3 linked regions of the Mytilus edulis genome follow. The protein of the gene in region 3 purifies or fractionates together with the protein of the main gene of each other region. This does not show direct contact. Links are inferred from orthologs where the notes say so. Each region holds a gene or a part of one and is shown on either strand. Other genes may lie near its edges. The genes, in order: dnaJ homolog subfamily B member 6-like, ATP-citrate synthase-like and stress-induced-phosphoprotein 1-like.

Region 1 (6,973 bases), on a different chromosome or scaffold from region 3:
CACATGTGGCACCCGTCGTGTTGCTTATGTGATAACAAATCCGGTAAATAGTCTAATTCGGTAGGTCACATTCATGAAAGGGAAGATGATTGTAGTTACTTTGTAAGGAACATAATTATCCGATATCATTTGTGAAACGGTTATTCAATAACAGTCAACCAACTCGTCATCACGTCCATAAAATTATTGAAGGAATGATTTAAACTTCACCATTTGGAACTCTTGGTTTAATAGCATACGTGTGAGCAGCAACTCTCTATCAAGAAAATCATGATAGGAAATGCAAGCACAGGAATATCGTATCAATTGGGAGATGGGAGATATATACCCCATATGCAAAAACGCTGTTTTTTTGGGCTTGTAAATGAGAACTGTTCTGAAGATAATAGACAAGGGAAATTTTCATTGTCCATGAAATTACACTAAAATGATGAGTAAAGACATGATGGTCACATCTGAAAAGGACAGTCAATTAAAAATTCTATTTGCACATAGAAGTCCTGAGAAATTCAATGAGAAGAAGACAGCCGGAGATACATTTTGTACATGTATGTACATAACATCCCAATAGGTCTCCAGTCACAAACTTTTAGCACCAACAAAGAAAGAGACATACGAGATAACAATGAATATGATAGGAGAATATTTAAAGATTTCAGGGGGATTCCAGGAAACACTAAGCCTTGAAGAATTCCGATACAGTGCCTAAACAATTTAACTAAATTAAACAATGTGACATTACCCAGAGAAACTACAAGTAAGCACAAAGAGACCAGATGTGTCAAAGCTAAATATTGACCGTAGGATCAGGATCACCAGCCTCACTGTGACTGCCACTAGTCAGTTTGCCAACCCTTGATGGGTTTAAACAGGCACTGGCTATCTTCACCATTTTCATAAATTGTAGTTATTGGATTATTAACTGTAAATACTTGGTTTTTTTAACTGTATATCATTATATAGAGGTGACTGTATGGCATGTATGTGTCAGTGTGAATATACTCAAAATGAGTCCTACACTTAATCAGAAGAAACAATTCAACTAATTTATACCCAAAATATAACATATATATGTCGATCATTTAATTGTTACATAAAAACAGCTTCTCATACTGTTATTTTCAAAAACAGGACGTTTCGACTTACCCGAACATCCGCAACCTCAATCGTAACAGCAAAAACAAAATTAAAGTACATGGAGGAAAATACATGGAGGAAGATACACATAGGGCGTAATATGCACCAATGAGAAGAGTTGTGCCATAAGGCCATAAGATTGAGATTTGAGGATCATACATATACAGACTCGTTCTCTTTGTCAGGTAACATTTTTGTCAAAAATTCTAGGCTACAGAAAATTAAACGAACAGAGAAAAAATGTTCCTGTTGAGGCTGTACATACTAAGTCTTTAGTCTTTAGAAGTGTCAACTTGACACTATAATCTCTATCTGTAATTTCGATCACTCTGGTAATTTTATGGCTCTATTGTATTAAAATCATTAGTACATTTGTATTTATGATGTGGCACTACAGAGAAACTAAATAAACTAGTATCTCAATTGTTTGTAAAACAATTGAAAGGTCTTTCCTGTAAAAGTAATGTTTTCTTAATGTTCTTTGTACGACCTTTCGTTTGATATACGACAAGCATACCTTCTGAAACTTTTCGCTTTTTACACTTAATGACCTCATCAGCCTACATTTTTGAGATCGGAAGTATGATATATGTAACACAGGGTAGATGAGATTTCGTTTGATATGCGACAACGCCATGTTCTAAAAAGTTTGATTTTTACACTTAATAACCCTACCCAACTAATTTTTGGAGGTTGGGAATTTGATATTTCAAATGTACACATCATGACCTTTCATTTGATATACAACAACCTTACCGTAAAAGAAGATTTATTTTTTGCACTCAATGACCCCATCCAACCCATTTTTGGGAGACGTCAATTTGAAATTTGAAATGTACGCTTTATATTCTTTCATTTGATATGCGACAACCTTACCATCTGAGAAATTTGAATGTTTGCACTAAATGACCCCACCCGTCCCCCTGGGATGAAAAAGGGGTTTAAAATTTTCATTTTTAAGTAGAGTTTATTAAGACCTTCAATATGATATATCAGATGACCCCATATGACAAAGTGCAAATAATGATGTAATATCAACTATATAAATAGAAGTTATGAAACTTACAAAGTCAATGCAAAGCTTGAAATTTTCAAATTGATTTTTTGGTGTTTTTTTTCCATGGAATATTTTTCGTATTTGGTCAAACATATAACTATGTCAACCTCTTCAATTTCTAAAACATTTTAAGTGCTAAGCTCTGGTTGATTCAGAAATACATGCCTCCGCTCGCAAAACTTCAAACTGCATTATCTCAAAAACGACAATAGATATCTCAAATCTGTTAAATGATAAATGATCTACAGTTGAAGGACAACATTATAGGAAAAGAATTGAAACAATTTGAAAGTTCAACAAGGTCACAATTAATCATCAAATATATGATGCAAAACCAAACTTGAGAACCGGAAGTCGTAGAGACATGGGACTATCACCATTCAACTCAAGACCACTTGACCTTTCAAATATCACAAGGTCAAGGTCATAGTATAATATGAAGGTCAAGGTGAAATTTCATCATGACCTGACATTGACCTCAAATTGAAGGCCTTGAATTACTGATCATCTTTGCTGTTGATAGTAGGTTGATATCTGTTACCTTTAAAAAGATATACACACAATACTATACTTGTAAGACTCATCCCGTTGTAACTTTTGAACAGACGGTCGGACATTTTTGGGCTTATTGTATAAAATGTAGAACTCGTTGTGAAGAACATTTTATACGCTATATGTATGCAGTAAAGTCTTATCGTTTTTCTAATATGTAAGCTTGAGATTGCAGCGTAATTTTTTTTTTGCACTCGGTGACCTTTGACCTTGGATGCATATTAAAGGTCATATGAATTTAAGATTATTGGTGAAGGTTCCAAGTCTCTATGACTTTCGGTTCTCAAAATAGAATTTTTGAAAAATTATTTTTAAATTTTAAAGGGAAATAACTCCTTATAAGGGATGGCAACAAATTAATTGTTTATGTTTATAAACATTTCCATCTGTTCTTATACATGCTGTCATTTTCAATTCAATTCTATCTCTAATACTTTTTGAGAAAAATGCAAATAAAAGAAATTGTTTCAAGGGGATATAACTCTCAAAGGGGATGATGAAATCTTATGCAGCCTCATATGGTAATACATCATGATGAGATCTACCTATTGACCAATTAAAGTTATGATACCTTTTAACTAATTTTGGGGGGACCATGTTGAAAAAAATCAATAAATGGGAGATTACTCCTCAAGGGGAGGGTGAAATCCTACAAAAGTTCATCTGGTAAAAGTTCATGTTGAGGTCTATCGATGGTTCAATTTTGGTATTGATAACTCCAATAGAAGCGGTAGGAGGGCCTGCCAAAAATACAAATCCTTGTTCAAAGGATTCAAAATCAGCTTTGTGATCTTAAGCCATAAAACGTTAAAACAAATATGTGTATATTAAATACCTCTTTCTTTTCTTCGGACATGTTTTATTCCTGTGCCGATGAGCAGCAAAACTTCTGCTAAATTATGTTTCAACAAAATTTGTTTCTCATGGGGGCTGCCATTTTAAAAATTACTCTTTAAACATTTGATTTTTTTATGTTCAGCATTTCTGATTTAAGTTCTTTGTATTTGAATTATACTTAATATTAAATAAAATTTAATTGATACATAATTTCTATCATTAATTATCAATGTTTAACCTTTCAATTCATATATACTCTCTAAATATAGTCAAAATCATTCATGCGTTTTATACGGAATACACTTTACAGAGACGGATAAGCTTCTTGTTTGGAAATAATATTGGCCTACTTTCTGTTCTATTCTTTTCTATTCTGTTCCAAAAGAACAAAACAAAGATTGGTAAGTTGATTAGTATTGAGTAGAATTAACTAGAGAAAAAGGCAAGCATGTATATTTATCGAAAGCTATGAACGAAAAAAAATGAAATAGAAAAGATGTTTTTTTGCACAGAATTTCAGAAATTATAAATGATTATAGACAGACTAAAGAATCTTATTTGTATATAGTGGCTATAGTATTTTTACCTGATAAATATTGAATATTGTACAATGTATTCTTTATGATGTACATGTATATGAGACAAAATTATAGTTACCTGTACCATTATAAACTTGTACCAATGTCAACTCATACCACTAAAAAAAACTTGTACTAATGCAAACTTGTACCACTGCTAACTTGTACCACTGTAAATTCATACCATTGTAAACTTGTACCAACTTATATAATTATTGAAATGCATTGAACATTTTGAAATGGTGTTTAATGATGAATATACAGTGGAGTAGTCCCCGGTGTCTGCGCGGCCCGTGATATCGCGCATTAGCTTATTTTGTCATATCAACACAGTATCACAAACACAATCGTTCTTGTTATTGTTTTAGCCATCTGAAGGGATAAAAAAGAATAAAATTGATAAGTTCAAGAGTTAATTAATAACTGCAATCCCGTAATTTGCCATATTTGGCCAATTTCCGTTAAAAAAAAATACATCATCAGATAAAATTTGTTTTATTTAAGTCAAACTTATATCAGATTGAAATGATTTTTGCTCTGCATCCTTGGCAGTGTTTTTGGTTCAAACTCAGCTATATTTCGTAGTATAAAATCTTTTCTTTTTTTAAAATAAGCTATTTTTGGAAGGCATGCGCGAAATCACCGGACATTGGAGGAACTCTCAGAACAGGGTTTCCCTAATTTTGGACACATATTACACAAAATCTTGAGGGTGAAACCATACAAACAGAAGATTTTATGAAATAAAAGTATGTTATGAATGTGTTCACATAATATTATTCATTTATTGGTTTTATCAGTTGAATGAAGTGAAGTCATAAGTCTTAGGTGAGCGGATACACCGGACTGCACCGTATACTTTAATTTCACTCAATACCTCTTAAGTCTGTAAAATGTATAATATGAGGCAGGCATTACCTGTGAAAGGGAACGAAGTCTATGATTTTATTTTAATTCAAACATATCTTAATTTCGAAACGGAAATACCGTAATGTTTCCGATTTTGGTTCTCTTGTTAGGGATTTTAGTTGTGCCGTTATTTAAGTTATGACGTCATATGCAATTTTAACAAAGAAACGCTATCATTAGGTAACGTTTTTTCATATCAAGGAATTATTAAAAAAATGAAATTGATATTGCGTTCCTTCCTATTTTATACTAAACTGATAAATATATATATTTTACTCAAAATTTCATGCAAACAAGACCGGAAAAAGGAAGAACATTGTAGATTTCTGCGCAGATGCAGGAATTCAAAACATGACATAAAAAAAATTGAACTATTTTGAGTTCATTAGTACAATGAAAATATCGGGAAAATTTTTCCGTTTTTTTTTTTTATTGAATTTTCTACTGTTATTGGGGACTTTGTCCCCATATAATTTGAAATTACGTTGACCCATGTGTAGCTTATTTTCCATGTCTAACTAATTCCCATAATTGACCCTGTTATTATAGATCGCTTTTTTTAGTTGTCTCTTTTATGAGGTACATTAATTTGTATTTACAATGGAGAGCTACAATGTAGCAGAAAGAGCAAATTAACCTGATCGTAAATTCGTAATGTGAGTAATCGTTCACACAATGACAAGATCAAGTTAGAATTTGTTCCGTTACAATGATTTTTGTCGAGCCTTCGACTTTAGAAGAAAAAGCGAGACAGCGATCCTACATTCCATCGGTGTCATCGACGGCGTCCACAAATATTCACTCTGTGGTTAAAGTTTTTGAAATTTTAATAACTTTCTTGAAATATCCTACATTGTAGATTTCTACCAAACTTGGACAGAAGCTTGTTTATGTTCATAAGATAGTATCCAGGAGTAAATTTTGTAAAAATAAAATTCCATTTTTTCCATATTTTACATTTTTTTACTTATAAATGGACTTAGTTTTTCTGCTCGGAACCATTACATGTACATGCAATCTGTGGTTAAAGTTTTTAAAATTTTAATAACTTTCTTAAACTATCCTGGAATTGTACGAAACTTGGCCAGAAGCTTGTTTTTCTTCTAGTTAACATTACATACAGTCTGCAGTTAAAGTTGTTAAAACATTTTTAAGTTTCTTAAACTAGCCTGGAATTTTACCGAACTTGAACAGAAGCTTCTGACAATCAAAAGATAGTATCGAGAGGAATAATTTTGTTGATTTTTTTCTTCATTTTTGTTGAGTGTGTGATTAACAGCAAAAGTAGACAGGACAATGGGTTCCGCGGAACCCTTATAAATTTTTTAACCAGATTGGGACTATTTAATACCATGCAATACTCACAATATGCTTGTTTTTGGGGGAAAGACGGCTTCAAGCCGTCAATCCCATATGGGGTTGACCAGAGTGACATTCCCTCACATCATTCATTTTGTTTTTATAGTGTGATTACCCCCAAAAAATCTTACTGAGCTTGATGAGAAGGAAACACACAAATGAAAAGATTGACTTTAAATACTTTTCTACATATTTCCCTTCTGTTTCTAGCGAAATTATCGTATTTTGAGCTCTCTTTTACACTATTTACGTTTCTTTTACAATCCGGAAAAATCAGTGACGAGATATTCTAAATATATCCAACCTACATTATATTTTATAATGACGTCATTGTTGGAATGCCACACTATGAAGAAGCAGGGATATTCTTCACTGGTTATTTAAATCATTCTCAGAGTTCGTGCACTAATTGTAAATTATTTGTTAAATTTAAACATAATTATGTTTGCTGTAGATGATTCAAACATCAACATGCAATACTTTAATTTGTAGGTCAACAACTTTCAGAGTAAACAAGGGTCGTGGAGATACATGTACATGAGAT
Region 2 (7,226 bases), on a different chromosome or scaffold from region 3:
GATGCACTGCTTTCCATCTAAATCATTTGTATTATCAACTCATCGAAGCTTGAGGTTATCCGCGCCACATATTAAAGTGACAGTTGACGTTTAGAAAACATTGTTTTCTTGTGTATTATAGTATTCACTTATTGAGGTTTGAGTACTGAACTAGTTTTACCCCTCAACATGTGTATGTGTCTGTACCTTTTGGGGTTTTTTTTCGAGTTAAATTAAGCATTTCGTTTGTTTTTTCTATGTATTGTTTTAACGTTGCTACGGATATCACATGCTGTTATAACTGTTTAATTGTATAAATAATATAAACCTTTTATGTTTGTTTGTTTTGTTCATACTTTGTTCATATTCTGTCAATATAATGGAATGTTATGCGATAATCATACAAAGGAGAGGTTTAGCTACATGTAGCTATAAAACCATGTTTAATCCACTATTTTCTACATAAGAAAATGCTTTTACCAAATCAGGAATATGACAGTTGTTTTCAATTCATTTGATGTGTTTGAGCTTTTGGTTATGCCATTTGATATGGAACTTGTAGTTTTGAGTTTTACTCAGTATTTTTGTTATTTTACTATATTCAACTTTTGGTATCCATCAGCCAATCAAAACTAGGAAATCGTATGAAATTAATTGTAAGTGAACAACAAACTTTCTTATTGGAAAGTGTAACGATTTGTTATGTCGAATGATGGTATTGTTCTAACAGGGTATCTATTGGCTCTGTCGATTGATTGTATTATCCTGGCAGAACATCGATTGGTTATGTTGATTGATTGTATTATCCTGGCAGTGCATCGATTGGTTGTGTTGATTGATTGTATTATCCTGGCAGTGCATCGATTGGTTATGTAAATTTGTTGTAAAGTCCTGGTAGTGCATTGATTGACTTGGTCGATTGGTTGTATTGTCCTGACATTGCATCAATTAACTCTGTCGATTGTTTGTATTGCCCTGGCAGCTCATCCATTGGTTATGTTGATTGGTTGTATTGGCCTGGCAGTGGAACGATTTGTTATGTCAATTGGATGTATTGTTCTGGCAGTACATCGATTGACTCTGTCGATTGGTTGTATTGTTCTAACAGGATATCTATTGGCTCTGTCGATTGGTTGTATTGTCTTGGCAGTGCATCGATTGGTTGTTATGTCCTGGCAGTACATCGATTGGCTCTGTCCATTGGTTGTATTGTCTTGGCAGTTTCATCGATTGGCTCTGTCCATTGGTTGTATTGTCTTGGCAGTGCCTCGATTAGCTCTGTTGATTGGTTTGATTGTTTTGGCAGTGCCTCGATTGGCTATGTCGATTGGTTGTATTATCCTGGCAGTGCATCGATTGGCTTTGTCGATTGGTTGTATTGTTTTGACAGTACATCGTTTACACTGTCGATTGGTGGCATTGTCTTGGCTGTGCATCGATAAGCTCTATCGATTAGTTGTTATGTCCTGGCAGGGCATTGATTTACTCTGTCGATTGGTTGTATCGTCCTGGCAATGGGATTGGTTGTATTTTCCTGGCAGTGTATTGATTGGTTGTATTATCCTTTCATTACATCGTGTTTGTACGATTTTTTTGTTCTGGCAGTTTTGAATTGCTCTGTCAATTGGTTATATTGTTCTGGTAGTGTACTATTGGCTCTGTCGATTGGTTGTATTGTCCTGGCTCTATCTATTGGTTGTATTGTCCTAGCTCTGTAGATTGGTTTTATTGTCCTGTCAGTGCCTTAATTGGCTCTGTCGATTGGTTGTATTATCCTGACGGGCATTAATTGGCTCTGTCGATTGGTTTAATTGTCCTGTCAGTTTATTGATTGGCTCTGTCAATTGGGTGTATTGGTCTGGCAGTACATCGATTAGCTCTGTCGATTGGTTGTATTGTCCTGGAAGCTCATCGACTGGTTATGTCGATTGGTTGTATTGGCCTGGCAGTGCAACGATTTGTTATGTCGATTGGTTGTATTGTTCTGGCAGAACATCGATTGACTCTGTCGATTGACTCTGTCGATTGGTTGTATTGTCTTGGCAGTGCATCAATTTGCTCTGTCGATTGGTTGTATTGTCTTGGTAGTGCATTGATTGGTTATGTTGATTGGTTGTATTGGCCTGGCAGTGCAACGATTTGTTATGTCGATTGGTTGTATTGTTCTGGCAGAACATCGATTGACCCTGTCGATTGACTCTGTCGATTGGTTGTATTGTCTTGGCAGTGCATCGATTTGCTCTGTCAGGGACGTAGCTAGAACGAAAAAATTTTGGGACCCTTTTATGCAGATTTTTTTTTTTTTTCGGTTTTCGGTCATAGGACGGTTAAAAGAGGAGCTACATGTAGAAAGGACTTATAAACAATTTATGAATGAAAACTATTAATTAATCTTCTGAATAGAATAAATCATGGTAAATTGAATACATAAACAACACATTTTTGTGATACCGAAATTACTCAAAATTGTCCAAAATCTGCTCTTCGGGTCTAGGCAGAAACGAACTTCTCTATTACTTTGTCAATATAAACACTGAATTCCCGATGAATATGCAGTAATGCTAGCGATGATAACCTGTCGTTGTTCATTGTTGATCGTACATTTGTTTTCAACAGACGTAGTACCTTGATATATCTCCACGGTAGCACTCGCGAGGTGTTATAAATCAGCGTACGTATTCGCCATCGAGCGACCTCCCAATTGAATTCGTCAAAATTACATGCCAGGTCAGTTTCGTATGTCTCAGACAAAGTTGAGATATCTTCGTTTGTTATATTTCCAACAACACAAGGAAGCAGATACGGCGCAAAGAAGCGATTTTCTAATAATACCAGACGCGACTCCACTCTCCAGTTTCATTATCATATGGTCTATGAACGCAAAATATAATGAGACTTTCCAATACTGTTTGGGCGTGTTTGCAGGGTGATTGGGTCTTGTTGTCTGTCGAACACATCGCCTCGGGATCTGATAAATCTAATGCAGATTGGTACATCTCATTCCAAACAGATAAACCGTACTCAGTAAAATGTGCTCCGAAACTACATGTCTTAGACTGAGTATAACAAATTCAAATCTTGATTTTGTCATGATCTCCAATAAAACTTTTATTTTGAAACCAAATGCCGTTATTTAATGACATTTCATTAATTAAAAAAAAGTGACAACATATGTGTTTTCTTTAAACATTTAATTTATATTTTTATTTCGCTATATTTTTTTTTGCATGCCGAATCGATGTGCACGCAACTGCGTGTTGGCGTATAGGCAGCTACGCGCCTGTCTGTCGATTGGTTGTATTGTCTTGGCAGTGCATCGATTGGTTATGTTGATTGGTTGTATTGGCCTGGCAGTGCAACGATTTGTTATGTCGATTGATTGTATTGTTCTGGCATCTCATCGATTGGTTAGGTCAATTGGTTGTATTGGCCTCGCAGTGCATCGATTTGTTAGGTCGATTGGTTGTTATGTTCTGGCTGAGTATCGATTGGCTCTGTCGATTGGTTGTTTTGTCCTGGCAGTGCATGGATTGTCTCTGTCGATTGTTTAATTGTTATGTCCTGGCAGTACATCGATTGGTTATGTTGAATGATTGTATTATCCTGGCAGTTTCATCAATTGGTTATCATGGTTATGTCGATTGTTTGTATTATCCTGACAGTGCATCGATTGGCTCTGTCGATTGGTTGTTTTGTCCTGGCAGCTAATCGATTATCTCTGTCGATTGATTGTATTGTTCTGACAGTACATCGATTGAATCTGTCGATTGGTGGCATTGTCTTGGCAGTGCATCGATTGGTTGGATTGTTTTGGCAGTGCCTTTTGTTGACTTTGTCGATTGATGGCATTGTCTTGGCAGTGCATCGATTGGCTCTGTCGATTGGTTGTATTATCCTGGCACTGCATCGATTGGTTATTTCGATTGTTTGGATTTTTTGGCAGTGCCTCGATTGGCTCTGTCGATTGGTTGTATTATTCTGGCAGTGCATCGATAAGCTCTGTCGATTGGTTGCATTGTCCTGGCACTACATTGATGGGCTCTGTCGATTGATTTTATCGTCCTGGCAATGTGATTGGTTGTATTTTCCTGTCAGTGCATCGATTGGTTGTATTGTCCTTGTATCAAGTTTGTTTGTTTAAGGTCGAGTTTGTTTTAGGCCGAGTTGTCCAACAGCGTAAGAAAATCACTTCCGCTTTTCTACGAAGGTAATGTCAAATGTGATCAAATGTGTTAATTTTATTTGACTTGTGTGGGATAATTGTCCTTTGACAGTTGGTACCAGAACGTTTTAAAGTATTTTATAGGTATATAATACATGAAATTGTTATGTTTAGTTTCTAACAGTCAATAAAACCCCTCTAATTTGGACAAATTGCACTTCCGGCGCGTTGTTGGCGACGCACGAATGCCGGGTGGTGTGATATCGTATGATTATACCTGATTTGCAGTTTCATATATCTATATATATTTGGAGTAAGTTTTTCACTTAAAAGATATTCAAGTCGCACAGGTGAGGCATTGTTATTTCAACTTTAATTTTAAATGCAGCATGCATTATTTTTTTTTACTGTAAAATCACAATACACCTTATCGCTAATCCCGGTAGTACAAATAATTATGACGTCTTGAAAGGCTATTATAATTTTTTTCTTTGACTCGATGTAAGGCGTCAAAGAAACAAATTACAATAGCCTTTCAAGACGTCATAATTATTTGGACTATAATCCCGGCTGACCCGGCCGCTTGAACTTTTGACGTCAACAACAATCACTTTTCCATTGTGGCGTCAGATATTTTGTTTTATGACGTCAAAATTTTACGGGAACCTGTGTGATTTCCAGCAATGGCGGACAAATAGCGATAAGGTGTATTAAGGTACAAGCACTTGTCTCAAGATTTTATATTACTATCGTCGTGTCATATAAAATTGAGAAAGGAAATGGGGAATGTGTCAGAGCGACAACAACCCGACCATAGAGCAGACAACAGCCGAAGGCCACCAATCGGTCTTCAAGGCAATGTAGCGAGAAACTCCCGCACCCGTAGGTGTCCTTCAGCTGTTTTCGTATGTGATATGTTTTCACATGATCAGGCTGATCCACATTTCAAGTCTAAAGTGGAAAGGATATTCTATTTGGAAAGTACTGAAAGTAGACATATCCTTTAAATCATGAACAGCTTACAATCATTGACAATAGAAAAACAAGAAGTATTTGACATAACAAAAAATTGACTAATGAATGAAATGCAGCAAATTTGATTTAAAACTACAATTTAAAACAAATACCTTATATTAGTTTTTTTTCCTGTCGAATTTGTTTTGAATTTTTTGCCTCCATGAATACAGGAAAAATTTATTAATATATATGTTAAATCTTAAATCCCCCTTTAATTTTTGTGTTTCCATTTCTTCTTTTCTCCTCTGAGTTTCTTTTATACAATTTATAAAATTAATCAACTCATCATGATCATGCTCATAGTTTGGAACAATTTGTTTCAATTTATGATAACTTTGAGTGAATGTCTTCCCCACATGTATCATATCACGCTCCTCCGATTTAAGAATATTTTTTAATTGAGAAAAACTGTTCACTTAGGCAGCAACCATTTGATTTTCTGGGGGGGGGGGGGGCTCTATTGATTTTTTGGGAAAAAAAAGTTTGGTTTCAAGTTTTTGGAGAAAAAAATAATTTGTTTTGTGATTCTGAGAAAAAAAAATTGTTTGTTTCCCCCTCAGCTGCCACTATAAAATTGAAAGAAAAAAATTGTTTTGCGACTTGTCCAGAAAAAAAATCCATAGCCGCCCCCAGAAAATCAAATGGTTGCTGCCTTACCTATATATTTATTTATAAATATTTATAAAACTTATCATGCTTATGAGTAGTTTTAATCAATTTATTCACTAATTGCGACAAATTTCCTACATATTTCACGTTTCCTTCCTCGATCCCGTGCCATTTTATTGTAAAACCAGATGTGGGTATGCGTAGCCTACGAACGGCAATATGACTATTCGTACCCGGGTACACGCAGACACTGTCTTTTATAAAACTGACCTACATGTATTTGTCATTTTTGTCGAGCCTTCGACTTTAGTCGAAAAAGCGAGACTAAGCGATCCTACATTCCGTCGTCGTCGGCGTCGTCGGCGGCGTCAACAAATATTCACTCTGTGGTTAAAGTTTTTGAAATTTTAATAACTTTCTTAAACTATACTGGATTTCTACCAAACTTTGACAGAAGCTTGTTTATGATCATAAGATAGTATCCAGAAGTAAATTTTGTAAAAATAAAATTCCATTTTTTCCGTATTTTACTATAAATGGACTTAGTTTTTTCTGCGGGGAAACAAAACATTCACTCTGTGGTTAAAGTTTTTAGAATTTTAATAACTTTCTCAAACTATCCTGGGTTTGTACCAAACTTGGACAGAAGCTTGTTTATGATCATAAGATAATATCCAGAAGTAAATTTTGTAAAAATAAAATTCCATTTTTTCCGTATTTTACTTATAAATGGACTTAGTTTTTTCTGCGGGGAAACATTACATTCACTCTGTGGTTAAAGTTTTTAGAATTTTAATAACTTTCTTTAACTATCCTGGGTTTGTACCAAACTTGGACAGAAGCTTGTTTATGATCATAAGATAGTATCCAGAAGAAAATTTTGTAAAAATAAAATTCAATTTTTTCCGTATTTTACTTATAAATGGACTTAGTTTTTTCTGCAGGGAACCATTACATTCACTCTGTGGTTAAAGTTTTTAAAATTTAAATAACTTTCTTAAACTATCCTGGGTTTGTACCAAACTTGGAAATAACCTTATTTATGATCATAAGATTGTATCCAGAAGTAAAGTTTGTAAAAAGATTACTCTGTTTTTTTCTGTAATTTACTTTCAAATGGACTTAGATTTTCTTACAATCATAAAATAGTAACAAGAGGAATATTTTGATTGATTTTTTTCCTCATTGTTGTTGAGCCTGTGATTTACAGCAAAAATAGGCGAGACACTGGGTTCCGCGGAACCCTTACAAATTTTTATTTAATGTCAAAAATATCCATCACTAGAATAGGTGTTGAAAAAATTTCTGAAGGGTTAAAATAAAGTCCAGGTATGTTTTTAGACCGTTAGACACCGGATCTTCAAGACATGTGACTGTCATACTTTTTTTGGCCGTTTTAATTACAAACCAGCGAATTAAAATTAACAGGGTTCTTATATCATGTATATAAAATGGTTGT
Region 3 (7,811 bases):
ACTAGATGCAGAGATTGAACGGAATTGAATGTGTTTTTCTTACTATTTAGTGATAGAACATCATCTACATAGGCTATAGCAGAAAGTACTGCTAACTTCTTTTCGTTCTTCATAAGAACTGAAGTTCCTGTATTAAGTCAGTCTCACACGAATAAAGGAACAAGTCGGCAAGTTCCCATGCAAATGCAGATTGTTTGTTTTTAAAAAACAAACATGTCATACAAACGTAATGAATATATTGTCATTCAAATCAAGCATCTAGATGTCAGTTTCAGACAATTGTTTGTTTGAATCAAAGTGTTTTTTTTTCAAAGTATGATTTATCCCTCCCTAAGACAAAATACTTGTATTTACGTTGGTCATACTTTTTTATGAATAAAAGCAGAACCAATACTTTCAATTTGTCTTTTAGTTTGGAATGGGGAAAACTTGTGTAAAGTGCAGAAAAGACAAATGCACTAATTCTATTGCAAAATGAAAGAGTCTTGGTACCCGGCCACTTCCACTCTGTGTTTTTGATAGATGTATCTACACTTGTATCCTTCTAATGATTTAAGCCTTTTTCAACTCATTTTTATTATTCGTTTTTGTTTTATACTGTTACACCACTGTCCCAGGTTAGGGGAGGGTTAGGATCCCGGTAACAAGTTTAAAACATCCACATTGTGTTTGTAGGTGCCTGTCCGAGGTCAGGAGCCTGTAATTCAGGGGTTGCCAATTGTTGAACAGAAGAGAAAAAAATCTGAAAAAAACATGACTTCCTCGGTCTTTTCTCGCGTTAGAGTATTTCAATTCCAAATTCAATTCCATTATCAATTCATATCTTATTCCTATTCCTTTTCCTATACCCGACCATATTCCTATTCCAATTCATTTTCCTATTAATAATCCTATTCCTATTCCTATTCCTAATCCTGATCCTGATCCTGATCCTGATCCTGATCCTGATCCTGATCCTGATCCTGATCCTGATCCTGATCCTGATCCTGATCCTGATCCTGATCCTGATCCTGATCCTGATCCTGATCCTGATCCTGATCCTGATCCTGATCCCGTGATCCTAATCCTAATCCTAATCCTATTCCTAATCTTATTCCTCTTTTTATTCCAATTCCTATTCCAATTCCAATTCATATTCAAATTCATATTCAAATGCATATTCTTAATCCTATTCATATTCCTAATGCTATTCATATTCCTAATCCTATTCCTATTATTATTCCTATTCCTGATCAGGGGCGGATCCAGCCATTTTAAAAAAGGGGGTTCCCAACCCAGGGTAAAAAGGGGGGGGGGGGTGTCCAGCTATATGCTCCCATTCAAATACATCGGCCAAAAAAAAGGGGGGTTCCAACCCCCGGACCCCCCCCCCCCCCTCTGGATCCGCGCCTGCTGATCCTATTACAATTCGAATTCATTACCTATTCAAATTCATATTCCAATTCAATTTCCTATTCTATTCCTATTCGAATTCATTTACCTATTACTTATCCTTTTCCAATTCCTAATCATACCGTATAGCGGGTTATTTTCGCGGGTGTAAAAATTCGCGATTTTCATTGAAAAATGTATTCGAAATATTTTGACGGTTATTATTTTAGCGGACTCAAATTTTTGTTATCAATATCTTAGCCTGTGCACTTTTAAATTGGCGGAATTTATTTTGGTGATTTTGGTTCTTTCCGCGAAAATAAGCGAAAATTCACACCCGCGAAAATAACCCGCTATACGGTATTCCTATTTCAATTCGAATTCATATTCATATTCTTATTGCTATTGTTATTTCAATTTTATTCCAATTGCTATTGCTATTGCTATTGCTATTGCTATTGCTATTCCAATTCCTATCCTATTCCTATTCCTATTCCTTTTCCTATTCCAATTCCAATTCCTATTCCAATTTCAATTTATATTCATGTTACTTCTCATATTCCTATTCCTAATTCCTATTCCTAGTCCTATTCCTATTCCTATTCCTATTCATAATTCCTCTTCCTATTCCTAATCCTATTCCTATTCCTACTCCTAATTCCTAATTCCTAATTCCTAATTCCTATTCCTATTCCTAATTCCTATTCCTATTACCATTCCCATTCCCATTCCCATTCCCATTCCCATTCCTATTCCTATTCCAATTCCTATTCCTATTTCAATTTATATTGCTGTTACTTCTCATATTCATATTCCTAATCCTAATCATAGTCATATTTTAATTCCTATTCCTATTCCTATTGGTATTGACATTGTCATTTGCATTGTAATTGTCATTGACATTGACATCAACATTGACTTCGAATATTGTAATCAGTTGACATCTTATTTCTATTTCGTTTCCTATTCTAATTCCTATACCTATTCCAATTCACACTCCCATTCCCATTGCTATTGCTATTGCTATTGCTATTGCTATTCCTTATTCCTATTCCTTTTCCTATTCCTATTCCTATTCCTATTCCTATTCCTATTCCTATTCCTATTCCTATTCCTATTCCTATTCCTATTCCTATTCCTATTCCAATTCTTATTTCAATTATAATTCCAATTCCAATCCCAATCCCAATTGACATTGCATTGACATTGACATTGATTGGCATCAACAGTGACGTAGACAGTGACATTGGTATTGGTGTTTTATTGATATTGGTTTTATATTGTATTGTATTTGTATTTGTATTTGTATTAATTGTATTGGTATTATATTGGTATTGGTATTGTATTGGTATTATATTGATATTGGTATTGGTATTGGTATTGGTATTGTGTATTGTATTGTATTGTATTGTATTTTATTAAATGATATGAGCAAATAAGCCCTAATACGGATAAATCAGCATGTGCAATACTAAAAACGTTCCACTGTCGATATAAATCAAGAGTTAATATTGCTCTTCGAACAGGGCCAATACGGAAAAAAACAGGGCCAATACAGAAAAAAGCGGGAAAAAAGTCGTATTAGCCCTAGGGCTAATACAGGACGTTCACTTCCGGTTTTCAATTTTCTTACGCCATTACTTTACTCTTGAAGTATCGTTATGCATAAAAACATTTGTATAATATTTTTTAAATTAAAGTAATAAAATAAACAGGTTAAATGATGTGCAATGTTTTGTAATGTCTTAATGTTTTCAAACGGAAAAAACAGGGCAATTACAGAAAAAAGCGGGAAAAAAGCTGTATTGGCCCATGGGCTAATACGGGACGTTCACTTCCGGTTTTTAATTCTCTTATAATCATTTAATAAAGGCACTGGCTACGGTTACATGGAAATGTAACAATAATAAAAATATTATTGTTACATTGGAGACTAAATGCCGGAATGCATGGTTGGGTAAGGACCTGTTTAATTACGAATGTAACAATAATTATTGAGGCTACGGTTACATTGCGTTATTGTTACATGAAAAAAAGCAAAGTACGATGGGACTAGTAATATGTACTAAATAATAAAAGTTGAGGACATTTATTACATACATTTATAACATACAATTTATTTACTGTAATTTTTTATTTACAATGACAATTTCTACAAATCCAGTAAGTTGTTTTTAAAGTCCGACACATTTTTGATGACCGAAATTACGTCCTCCACGGATACGTGTACATACATAATTTCTTAGTATTTTTTTTAAGTTACAGTAAGCAAACTTTGCTTTTGATTATCAATTTGCGTCAAGTTATAAAGCTGTATGAAATGTATGTCCTGATATTGTTTCAGTTTCGTTTAAAACGCATCCTAACTTTTATTTTTTTCACCATAAACAAAATTGGTCCAAAGTATAATGACAGTAATAAGAGTAGGTGTGCAGTTAAATACTTCAAAAAAGTGAAACCATTGAACTATATTTTTCGCCTTTGACAGTCACACTCCTAATTTTGAGCAGTATCTTTAAGAACATCAAAACCATTAATATGTAGTAAAACTATTCAAGTTGTACACCATTTGTTGAAAAATAATATTTTATTGTTTATCAGTATTAAATTACTAGTATTGTTTAGTACATATGAAAGAATGAAGCAATACAACTATAGAAGATTTAAGTTTAATCAATCTAGCGTACATTGCTGTTTCATGTAACAATAACGTAATGTAACCGTAGCCTCAGTAATTATTGTTACATTTGTAATTAATCGGTTCCTCACCCAACTTTGCATTCCGGCAATTAGTCTCCAATGTAACAATAATATTTTTATTATTGTTACATTTCCATGTAACCGTAGCCAGTGCCTTTAATAAAAGTGTTATGAACTGGCTGTTTCTGTATTGGCACTGGTATAGATTCTCGGTCAGCTGTATTGGCCCTCGACCCTACGGGGTCGAGGGCCAATACAGCTGACCGAGAATCTATACCAGTGCCAATACAGAAACAGCCAGTTAATAACACTATAGTATTGTATTGTATTGTATTGTATTGTATTGTATTGTATTGTATTGTTTATTGTTCTATGATTTCATTAGGGAGCTACCATTTGATTTTTATTGGGGGGCTATGAAATTTGAAAAAAAATAGGCAGGACAGTAGTTTTGAGTAAAAAAAAAAGGCAGGATGAGACACTTGCAAAAAAAAAAAGTCAGGACGACAATTTAGGTAAAAAAAAGTCAGAATAAACTAAAAAAAAAAAGGCAGGACCGAACAGAGTGAAAAATAAAAAGGCAGGACAGAGATTACAGCTAAAAAAAAATGCAGGACAAAATTTTTCATCCTAGCCCCCCCATAAAAATCAAATGGTAGCTCCCTTAGTTCAAGAGGTGTATGTAATATGCGCATTTAAATGATCTATTTTAATTTTTTATGCGCATATCACAGATTAAAGCTGCAAGTCGTTTTTATTGACGAAAACTACCAAGGCGTTCCGGAATATCAAAGGGAGGTAAATATACTGGTCACTGTTCCTTCTTCTCGGTACGAAGAAATTTCTTTTTCAGGGAATCAGTCGACAAAAACTAATGGATAATGCTAAGTGAGTTCCGATAAGTACGAATGACTCTAGAAAATTCGGTTTCAATAATTGAGAAAACATAGGAAAACGCTGTAGCCTGTAGGAATATGTCATCCGAAAATCAGAAAAAGGTAAGATTAGGTTGAAGAGACAACCAGTTGTATGCCATGAGTATGGTTAACCACAACGAATTCTGTTGAATTTGTCTGCACGTGTTTTACACTAACTGGAAAACCGGCACCTAGCACACATATCAATGAAAAAAAAAGTAAATACAAACTTTTAACTGCAAGCTCACGTGGAAATGCCACCATGATTTAACATGATACCATGGAGTCGCACTTCATGTAAACCTATCAGTATCAGAGTAACCCAAATAGGTTTATAATATATATATATATTTCAAGTTGTTCCAGCTTAAAGTCGATCAGATTGTTATTAACCTTATTATAACTCATTTTGGTGAATGATACAAATCTGTTTATTACCTCCCTCAACTTGCAAAGAAATTTTTCTGTTTCCGCTGAGTGTCGCAGTGGTTCTCTCCTAGTTCTCGGCTTCCTCTACCATAATAACAGACTTCCCAATGTCCTAGCACTCCCTAAAAGTTGTATTGGAGTGGGGGTTGTCCTTGTAAATATTGTTGTGACACATATCAATTAATGCTGAAAGTGATAGGGAGTTTACATGGATTCTGAAAACGGAGGATTCTACCAGTACATAGTTATACACTTGATCACGATTTTTTTTGTAAACAACCTTCATTTGATAAGGACCACAGGCCTCGACAATAACGCTTGTCTGATTGTCTGGTACCAGAGGTAAAAAAGGTCGGACAGGTAAAAGCTATACCAAGCTTGTCCGATGGGACAAGTAGAATCATTCTGCAGAAAATAAATTTTAATCCAACTTTGATGAACAAAGTATAATTATTAACAAAAAAACAAGAAAAGAAGATTTGTTTGACATCTTTCCTTTTTAAACTGAAACTAATTGAAACTTTTTATTTCTTAGTCGAATAATAAAATTAGACCCCTCAGACTTGCAATCGATAATTTAAACTGGTTCTTTGTCAAGTACTTTTAACAGGTAAAAAGCACACTTTTCTCGGAAACCAGTCTTACAGATCCAATTCAACCATGGGCATTTTAGATAAGGTAACTTTAAAAGACAGTTCGTCAACAGCTCGGAAATGATTCGGCTCCAAGTTTAATAGACAGTTGGGCACTGTAGGAGACATATTTCATAAACATGATTAATAGACAGTTTGGCAAGGCAGTAGACATTTCTGGACCAAGACAAATCAGAACTTCTTTTCCTACCTTATTTTGTTGCTCTATAATAATTAATACCGATGTCCATAACGTATTTTTTAAATAAGAATGAGGAAATTATTTACCATAAAAATCATCAAATCATGTTTGATCTTTATGTAGAAAAAACAATACCAATGCAATGCAGTGACCTATAAGTGTTAATTTCTGTGTCATTTGGTCTTGTGTCAAATTGACAATCATGCCTCATATTCTTTTTATTGATTGCATTTGAATAAACTTTTTTCAACTTTTAAAAAAATGGATAAAAATCCAATGAGTGTACATTTAGAGGCCAATCAGATGGTGCCTCATGTGCAAAGTATGATGAGACTTTAGCATTGATAAAAACTAGAACCTAAGTCCTGTGACACAACTCAATTCAGTTGTTCATGGCTCATATCTTTTAAAAGTATTTCAAAGGATATAAATCAAATTCTGTTCAATTTTTTTGTAATTCATTTTGTTCCTTGAATCAACTTGAAATGCAAAAAAGGTTAATATTAAGATTTGTTTTGGACAAGTTACAAGTAAGTTTTGGAATGTACTTGTCCTACTGGACAAGTTGAAAAAAAAGTTATTGTAGAGGCCTGGACCATAAAGTCAAGTGTATAGTTATCTACTGAATAGTGTTGCAGATCCCCTCAATAGGTACTATACAAGCTAAATGTCTTTTTTTTTTTTTTCTTTCTTAAATCCATCTTTAAATTAAATCATAAAATGCATTGAAGATCATTCCAAGAAAAGTATATATGTGTTTTTAGCTCACCTGGCCTAAAAGGCCAAGTGAGCTTTTCTCATCACTTGGCGTCCGGCGTCCGGCGTCGTCGTTAACTTTTACAAAAATCTTCTCCTCTGAAACTACTGGCCCAAATTAAACCAAACTTGGCCACAATCATCATTGGGGTATCTAGTTTAAAAAATGTGTCCGGTGACCCGACCAACCATCCAAGATGGCCGCCATGGCTAAAAATAGAACATAGGGGTAAAATGCAGTTTTTGGCTTATAACTCAAAAACCAAAGTATTTAGAGCAAATCTGACATGGAATAGAATTGTTAAACAGGTGAAGATCTATCTGCCCTGAAATTTTCAGATGAATCGGATAACCCGTTGTTGGGTTGCTGCCCCTGAATTAGTAATTTTAAGGAAATTTTGTTGTTTTTGGTTATTATCTTGAATATTATTATAGATAGAGATAAACAGTAAACAGCAATAATGTTCAGCAAAGTAAGATTTACAAATAAGTCAACATGACTGAAATGGTCAGTTGACCCCTTTAGGAGTTATTGCCCTTTATAGTCAATTTTTAACTATTTTTCGTAAATCTTAGTAATATTTTACAAAAATCTTCTCCTCTGAAACTACTGGGCTAAATTAATCCAAACTTGGCCACAATCATCTTTTGGGTTAGTAGTTTGAAAAATGTGTCCAGTGACCCGGCCATCAAACCAAGATGGCCACCATGGCTAAAAATAGAACATGGGGTAAAATGCAGTTTTTGGCTTATAACTCAAAACCCAAAGCATTTGGAGCAAATCTGACATGGGGTAAAATTGTT

What was found.
Region 1: the proteins of stress-induced-phosphoprotein 1-like (region 3) and dnaJ homolog subfamily B member 6-like purify together in Homo sapiens (affinity purification with mass spectrometry; 3 studies listed by BioGRID and IntAct, with this or other methods). This does not show direct contact. The link is inferred for Mytilus edulis from reciprocal best matches to the Homo sapiens genes STIP1 and DNAJB6.
Region 2: the proteins of stress-induced-phosphoprotein 1-like (region 3) and ATP-citrate synthase-like fractionate together in Homo sapiens (co-fractionation; 3 studies listed by BioGRID, with this or other methods). This does not show direct contact. The link is inferred for Mytilus edulis from reciprocal best matches to the Homo sapiens genes STIP1 and ACLY.

The regions. Positions count from the first base shown.
Region 1 is NC_092345.1:102,191,035-102,198,007, reverse strand, and holds the start of dnaJ homolog subfamily B member 6-like, read left to right. Parts: upstream 1-3,860; 5' UTR 3,861-3,984; intron 3,985-6,973. Other genes in the region: polyribonucleotide 5'-hydroxyl-kinase Clp1-like, read right to left, coding at 3,582-3,602. UniProt on the Homo sapiens protein: Has a stimulatory effect on the ATPase activity of HSP70 in a dose-dependent and time-dependent manner and hence acts as a co-chaperone of HSP70. Plays an indispensable role in the organization of KRT8/KRT18 filaments.
Region 2 is NC_092345.1:105,918,019-105,925,244, forward strand, and holds the start of ATP-citrate synthase-like, read left to right. Parts: upstream 1-4,114; 5' UTR 4,115-4,186; exon of another isoform or gene 4,187-4,491; intron 4,492-7,226. UniProt on the Homo sapiens protein: Catalyzes the cleavage of citrate into oxaloacetate and acetyl-CoA, the latter serving as common substrate in multiple biochemical reactions in protein, carbohydrate and lipid metabolism.
Region 3 is NC_092346.1:83,738,433-83,746,243, reverse strand, and holds the start of stress-induced-phosphoprotein 1-like, read left to right. Parts: upstream 1-4,790; 5' UTR 4,791-5,045; coding exon 5,046-5,069; intron 5,070-7,811. Other genes in the region: putative per-hexamer repeat protein 5, read right to left, coding at 871-1,114, 2,353-2,618. UniProt on the Homo sapiens protein: Acts as a co-chaperone for HSP90AA1. Mediates the association of the molecular chaperones HSPA8/HSC70 and HSP90.